Linked DNA regions of Nothobranchius furzeri. The protein of the gene in region 1 interacts with the protein of each later gene in a pairwise test. Links are inferred from orthologs where the notes say so. Each region holds a gene or a part of one and is shown on either strand. Other genes may lie near its edges.

The links. The genes of interacting proteins can lie anywhere in the genome.
Region 2: the proteins of abl1 (region 1) and msh5 interact in binary tests that used the Homo sapiens proteins (3 or more experiments, as listed by UniProt). The link is inferred for Nothobranchius furzeri from reciprocal best matches to the Homo sapiens genes ABL1 and MSH5.

What each region holds. Positions count from the first base shown.
Region 1 is NC_091746.1:53,653,094-53,657,253, forward strand, and holds the start of abl1 (tyrosine-protein kinase ABL1), read left to right. Parts: upstream 1-1,360; 5' UTR 1,361-1,590; coding exon 1,591-1,717; intron 1,718-4,160. UniProt on the Homo sapiens protein: Non-receptor tyrosine-protein kinase that plays a role in many key processes linked to cell growth and survival such as cytoskeleton remodeling in response to extracellular stimuli, cell motility and adhesion, receptor endocytosis, autophagy, DNA damage response and apoptosis.
Region 2 is NC_091745.1:79,204,597-79,208,573, reverse strand, and holds the start of msh5 (mutS protein homolog 5), read left to right. Parts: upstream 1-1,177; 5' UTR 1,178-1,373; exon of another isoform or gene 1,374-1,464; intron 1,465-2,910; 5' UTR 2,911-2,914; coding exon 2,915-3,016; intron 3,017-3,100; coding exon 3,101-3,224; intron 3,225-3,332; coding exon 3,333-3,413; intron 3,414-3,672; coding exon 3,673-3,726; intron 3,727-3,849; coding exon 3,850-3,971; intron 3,972-3,977. Other genes in the region: SPRY domain-containing SOCS box protein 1, read left to right, coding at 1-503, 580-710.

The sequences.
Region 1 (4,160 bases):
TACTTCTGCCCTGTTCTCGTTCTCCCCTCATCCGCACTAGCCCACGCACTCTCTACGTCATACGTGGCTCCACCCACATTTTTCTGTAAACCACCTTGCGTATGGAAGTATGGTGGCCTCGGCGACAGTGCTGCTGCTACTTGGCCAAAGTTTACTTCGCTTTTCACGTGAAAGCGATGAATAAATACGCAAATAGAGGACAGCGCAAAGAAGAGTTCAGAAGCTGTAAACAGAAGAAATAATTTGCAAAAGGAGGCGTTTGTGTCCGGCCCGGAAGAGTTCCCTCAACTTCTCTTCGTCTTCTTGGTTAAAGTCTAGTTCGACTTCCAGAGGGGGAGACGCTCCAAAAGATGGGAAAAGTGGACGCGGAAGTTTAAAAGAAACTTGTGATTTTTGTTGAGATTGGTTGCAACATGGGAAAATATGTTTTCCATGTGCTTTTTGGGAGACATTTTGGTACAATTGTCCGAGGATATTAGCGGAGAACCAGCGCGAGCCAACTGTTGACTCGAGCCGATGTGCATACCACCAGCAGACGTCGGTTAGCTTCATGGCTATCTTCAACGTTAGCTGGAGGTCGCCGGCTAACCAGATATTTCGCAGTTTTTCTGCTCGTGTAAGTTTGCTTTTTCGTCTTTTTACACTCTTATAAGAATTCAAGTTAAACGAGTGTTAAAAATCTGTCCTTTTAACAGCAGGGCTAGTTATTGACATTTCTGACTTCGGAAAATAAAATCTAGCCCCCTGATTAATCCCTTCCTTGGGATATAAATCTTTTTAATAAAAAATCTCACCGATTTACTTCAGATCAGTATAGAAATAATATAACCAGAGTGTGGTAATGTTTTTAAAGTTGTCTGTGTGATAAAAATGATGATAATTGACTAATAGAACGAGAAGGAAACACCCATGATTTAGGTGATCCTTGACTTTGTCAGTGACTCTTATGCTGTGGATGGAATTGTGCTGGCATTGTTTTTATTGGGTTGACTCTTGTTTGAATAGTCACAGTAAATCAATACACGTGTACCAAGTGATCCCTTTCCTGTTCAGACATGTCTAAAAACAATATTGGAAGTGGAACCCATCAAATCGAATACTTATAGAACAGCTTTGTTGGTTTTTATAATTTTACACTCATTTGTACACAGAATCATTTAATTGTCAAAATATGAATACATTTTTGAAGGATGGTGTTTCACTACAGCAGATAAAACTACAGTTCAATATATGAGGGATGCTTGACTAGCCCGTGGAGAATGATTTTGAATGTCAATTGCTTGAATAATTTGTGGGTTTTAATCGTTTTGAATTAATCATTGAGTCATCCATTATTTTTCCCCTAGACTCCTGTCAAACATCTTGTCATCTGAAGGGCCCAGAATCTATAAATGCATGATACACAGGGACATCCTGGAGAGATCCGTCCAACAGACTTGAATCACCCATTTTTTAGTGGGGACTGTCCAAGTCGGGGAACAGGCCTCCTGATTTCTCCTGAACTTTTTCCTGCCCGGAGCCCATTTGCTGGAGGGTGAGCAAGTGATACTGGCTTGGAGAGTCCCGGCTGCAGCCTGGCACCCTGGCCTTATGGGGCAGCAGCCGGGGAAGTTTGCAGGGGACCAAAGGAGACCCAGTTTGCCAGCCTTTATTAAGGGGGGAAAGAGAGAGTCATCACGCCATGTGAGCCAGCCCTGGAATGTTTTCGATAGGCATGGTAAGATCGAAACACTTTTCTAAATTTCCTGTAAGGGTTTATTTGCAGTCATAGTTGACAGACACTTTTTCCCTCCCTGTATCTTGTTGGCATTGGCCTAAACTTCTCTGTCATCTAAATATTAAGAAGGAAAAGTTGACAATCCAGTTTTATTTACAGCAATCAACATTTTATATTTATTCTCTAATCTAGTGGCAATGCAACAAAGTTGTGTGTATTCTGTTTGGACAGGACAGGAATTCCCTTTTATGTTAGAACAGCCAAGAGCAAGATGAAGAACATTTTAATGGTGTGGAACATTAAAAAAAACATTTTTAAAATCTTATTCAGGGCTTTTCCTGGCTCAAATTGAGGCAGAGGTGGTACCATCCTGACCATGCGCCAGCACATGCATACTCTGTGCATTCAACTGCCTCACTTTTTTAAAGGCAAATATATTTTCGTTAAGTGATCTAATCTAAGCTTCTGTTGATTAATAGAATATTCCATTTGACAACATCTCAAGTGAAACAAAACTGGTTTGCTGCTCAAAATATGAAATAAAACAACATTTTTAGGCTGAAGTAACAGACTCTTATTATAAAAGGCTCAATAATATGCATTAGATTGGTGTTTAGTTCCCATTTTCCCATCTGATATTTATAGTTGAAATATTTTTTAATACTTGACCTACATTTCAGTAACATTTTAGGTTTGTTTTAATAACACTCATCTTAGTCAAAATAACACATAAATATATCCAGTAAAAAATAATGCATTTCATTAACATGCATTTGTGTTGGAAATGATAATAACTTGTATTTTCTGCTGCTAACAATGTAATGGTAACATGTCTATTATGTACGGGTTGGCAATAATCCAATTTAAATTATGTTCAAAGATAGAAGCGTTTGTTAATTATATTCTACAATGGCTTGCACTACATCCTGCTCCTGTGTAACTCGTATCTGCAGCGGTTCTGGTCCATAGCGCTGCAGGATGCAGAATAAACAGGATGGTGGGGACCTTTCATCCACTTGTTGAGTTTAGTCTTTCTTTGTTTTACGATCATCATATATCCACTTGATCGTGCGACTGCTACCCATTAGCTTTAGCATTAGCCAATCTGCATGTAGCTGCACTTTTGATCCCAAACTTTGGACCGGTTCTGCCTTTGTGCCTTTGCTGGTTCCTTTATTTTCCTCCACTGCATCCAGATTATCACACTGTGCACCTGTGAAAAGCATTTTTCTTACTTTTGTTCAATAACGTTCTGCAGTAAATAGTAATTCAAAGATGTTGCACCAGCGCTACATTGAAAAATAGACAGACACACACAATGTTTTACGTTGCACTGTACACCCCTGCTCTGATAGGGAAGAAGTGCCTGGGGGAAAATCAGGACGTCAGTAGCACCAAACATAGATATGTACCAACTAGCGAGAAAAGCTATTTTTGATCATTTTCTGCAGTGGTTTTAGCGCGTTTCAGTGCACCGCTGCTGATACAGCGCCCCTGTAGTGGCGCAATGCTGCAACTGCAGTTACAATAACATCCATATAGCTGGGGGCAGAGTGAAATCAGGCTGGGGCGGCACAAAATTAGCTGGAGTCGGCCGCCACGCAAATTTGAACGCAGGTAAAGCCCTGTTATTTTTGATGATAATTGGTCAGTCTGAGTTTTTCTTGCAGGCTGAACATGGAAATGGTATTTACACCTATCTTCTGCATTAGCTTCTGATGGAAAATAGGATTTGAAAAGCCTGACAGATCTACGTCAAACTGACACAACATTCATGGACCCACCCACCATGACTCGTGACAGGGAAGGTTGTTGGTTTTAACGTCCAGGAAAGGGCAAAAAATGGCTTGGCTAGTAGAAGCTAACTGTTAGCATTAGTAACTCCACCACACAGCAGAACTCCTTCAAATTTGTGTTATTTGTGGAGATAAAACATCAGTTTTGCAAGTTAGTGGTAGCCACGTTGCTGTTATCTAATCCGGTCATGATATCCAAAAATCAGGAAATAAGACTCCAAAACGTGCCGTCTGAAACTCAGCAGTGATGTGGCTCACTTCTAGTTCCTGGAAATGGTGCACTGGAGCTTTCCCCCTAGAGTATGACTTATGGACTCGACACACAGAGGCAACAAACGACTGCGTTAAGTGAAACTTTTCGCTATTGCTTTGATAACCTGACACACGGGAGGTGACGTGGCAGTGGCAAAAGCAAGCAACCTGTTCTGTTCCTGGGCAAATAGCAAGTCTTCCGTTGTTTTGATTGGCTGTCAGATTGGAGGGAATGTTGGGTTATTACAGCAGTTCAGAGTTGAAAAAGTGGTAGATATGAAGCCTCACAAGGTTTTGCTAGAGTTAAAGTGAAGTCTTACATCTGACTTTACTATATAAAAAATTAGTGAATGTGTTTATCCCATATTACAAACCATTAAAAGAAACAATGAATA
Region 2 (3,977 bases), on another chromosome or scaffold:
TGGAGCGAGGGCAGAGATGGGGGTGAGGAGTGGGCTTCATGTGTGGGAGCTAACGTGGAGCCTCAAACACAGAGGAAGTCATGCAGCCATAGGGATCTCAAGGCAGGAATGTCCTTTGCACGACTCTGGTTATAAAGTTCTGGTGGGAGGAGACTCACGTTCCTGGGGATGGGAGCTTAAGACCAATCAGCTCTGGCACGGTGGGCAAACTCTGGAGTGCTACCCAGATAAAAGTAGAAGGTGTCGCTCTGGGGCTGCAAACAATTTCAGACCACAATCTTCTAATTCACATTCCACAAAGGAGGCAGAAGGCCCTCTTCTCATTCCCGAGCGTGTCCTGCTGGTCCTGGATGCAGATGCAGGGACTCTGGGGTATTTTGTTGATGGAAGCTTCCTTGGCGTAGCTTTTAGGGACCTTCCTAGTGGAGTAGAACTCTTCCCAGCAATAAGCAGTGTGAGAGGAGGAGCCAGCATACGATTGCGCTATCTTAACGGCACCACAAGTGAGTATCACCAACTAAAATAAACTGTATAATTTAAAAATGCTTTAATACTTAACATTTGTCCATTTTTTCTTAGGTAATCCTCCAGCCCTGATGGCTTTATGTGGACTGTCAATTTGTCAGCATTTAGGACAGCAACGACAGGACCAAGCTGAAAAATTGCCTCTTCCACCTTTCCTCCAGCGTTACCTGCTTTCTTGTTTCTAATTTTCATGAACATTCACGTGCAATCAGCATGCTTTAGCGTTTACAGCATTAAAGCCAAATAAGGCATTTCTGGTTGATTTGATATAAATATGACATTTTCAAAAAACTATTTCTTTAGTTGTATCTTTTGTTTGTGATGCATGGTATTTTGATAACGTTTTGAATGCATTTGCAAATTCCTTACTGTGTAAGCAATATGTTTCCTAAATTTATAATAAAATATGTTTTTGCAATTTCATTGTTTTGCTGTTTGTTTACAAAACACTACAGGCTACTGACATTGTATAGCTCGGAAAAGGTACTCACATAATTCATTATTTGTGTTAATAGTCATATCTGTTGATGCAAATAATTATTTGAATTTGATCACCTGACTGTAATTTTGTCAATTATGCAGCTGTGGATGGTGAATTTACCTGTAAACAAAAATAAAAGGGGGGGGGGGGGGGTGGTGGTGGACTGCATCAATATTAGGATAAATGCACTTAACTACCCATATATGAGCTCCCAAGCTCATTTTGTCAACATAAAAGTAAAGCTATGTAAAACTATATGTATATCATTCTCATTGGGCTTTCCCAAGCTTACTCACTTAGTCGGATGGTCCCGTTGCCATGGAAACAGAGGGCTGAAACAAGGCACGTGGCAAGCTGCACATTTATAGTAAGTTGAGCTAATCTCCCAATGCAAGCTGTTATAAAATAAAAAGTATGTATGAGATGTAGGTGTCGCTACTAAAGTCCCAACTAATTATGTAAGTACATGTTATGTAGTCTGATACTGCAATAAATATATATTTATAATATATCTTGCTAAATTAGACTAGCGTATGTCATTCACCTAGCATCAACTAGCTAACTGCTGCGACGTTCACTTAATAATGAAGTTACTTTTTTTAACAACAATTAAAGTGTAGGTAATGAGTTATTAAAACTAAATAACAAAATAAGACTAGTTTTCGGATTTTTTAGGTTTACTTAAACGTCAGATATGAAGTTCAACCTCTTTCAGCGCTACTTCCGGTGTAGCATATGTGACTTAGAAAATGGCGTACTTTCCTACGGTTGGGGTTTAGGACCCATAGTTAATATACATGATATCTATGTTAGGACCACTCTTAATCTGTCCATAACCGATGCTGAGATAACATATATTTAAAGGTTTGATAAGTATACACGATGTAACGGTAATTTCCCCAAATTTAAACTAATTTTAATAGCCTCATTGACTTGCATTCATTTTTTCTTATTTCCGGGGACACATGAGCCTTATGTAAATGTGTCTGACTAGTTAGGCTCTATTTGGGAGTCTGAAGCTGAAAAGTTTGGGAACCACTGGCTTACAAATTAGTATCAGGTTTTACTATGTTAATAATTTGTATCATAGTAGATTATAACGCATACATCGTGCTTTAAGGAAGAAGAAAGATTTTATATGGCGCCTCTCTAGATAAAATCTCAAGGCACAGTAAACAATAAAAATTAATTTTAAAGGATAATAATAAAAAGGAGGAAAAATGATTAAAAATCAGGTTGTAAATCATTAAAGGTTCTCTAAACAGTTCACATGGCAGTGTTTGGTTACCCAAGAGGATGTCCAAAGAATAGATTAACCTTTTTCTGTAGCTTTAATGGCCTCAGAAGAGTAAATAATGCAAATGAGTATTTTACTACTGTTATTTTTAGTTTGAATATGTCTGATTTACTATATTTTTGTTTTGGTATGTCTTAAATGTCCTGCCCATATTGTATTTTGTTTCTTGTATTTAATTTTCAAAAGAAAAGTTGGAGGGACTACAAAGTCGCTAAAGTGGCGAGGAGTACCCGTTGGTTGTGGTGGGCGAGGAACGAATTAACGACGTGCGAGGAATATCCTGCCATTGTGGATTGTTTTAGCTAGGTAGACTACGAAAAATAATCATTTTTATCAGAACTGAACTGTGACCCGATTACAACCCACAGCTTTCGACTCTCTGAGGATCAGTTGGTTTTTGAGGGTTACAGACTGGTGGAAGCAGTGGGATGTAGTTCTGATAGAAATGATTACTTTTTCGGCTTACACTACTACAAACAACACATTTGACAGCAACACAGAGCCCAATCTAGTCAGTAGTGATAAAACGTTTTAACATTCACTAGAGGACCAGATAAACTACTCAAAAATGAGCCTAATATCACTTTTAATGAACCATTCTGTGTAGAATTATGGCAGCAGCTCAAGAACATTCAAGAGAAGGAGGGAGAGTGATGGTTTATGGTGGCCCTGGCAGGAATGAGGATGAAGAGGAAGAAACTGACATATATGTGGTAAAATGGCTGCAGATACCAGTGGATTTCTAGATGCTTTCAAAATTAGCATTAAAACTTTATAATTAACGTGTTTGTTTCCAGGTTTTGTTGAGTGTTTTGGTGCATCATGGGCAGGTGGGTCTCTGCTTTTACGACAGCGAGGACTCCTCTCTACACTACATGGCTGACACTCCTGACAACCACGATCTTCACCTGTTGGCCAGAGGTAAATTATTCACTTACTTCCAATAGAAACATCACACTCACCAAGCTTTACTTTTCCTTTGTTCTGTTATTTGACTGTAATGTACGTCAAATGTTGTTTAATCTTCAGTCATTGAGGAGGTTAAGCCCCAGGTAATCATCACCAGTGCAAAGCAGGAACGGTGCTTGACTCGCTACTTACAAAGCCTCGGTGAGCGCCGCTAAACAAATGTCTTTGGTTGGTTAAGCGGAGTCAGAAACTGTAGAAGAGCATTTTGTTTTGAAGGGATGTGGAACGAGATGTTTCTGGGTCAAGGGAATTTAATGAGATTAAGGATGTTTGACACAGTGATAAGAAGAAGAGTGATTGTGATGGTGCTCCTCCTTATCTTTACTGAGCCTCCTTAACAACAAATAAAAACGGGGCATCTGTTAGTCACATTTTTATAATTAGTCTGATTTTGTTTCAGATTCCAACCAACACTACAAGCCAGAGGTGGTAACTTACCCATATGCAGACTTTGGTAAATGGTTGTTCTAATGCAATATTTATACACCTCCTGTAATTGCCAGGCTGTAGTTCTCTGTTCAGTCTTCGTTTTTTACAAATAACCACTTCATTAGGGTTTTGATTTTGAACGTTACAGGTCTGGAGGTTGGTAAACAGAGGCTTCTCTCTGCCCACCTGCCTTTCCTTCCAGCCAACATTTCAGAAAGAGACAAACTGTCCTACCTTTCCTCCTGTATCACTTTTGATTCGCCCCTGATGGTGAGC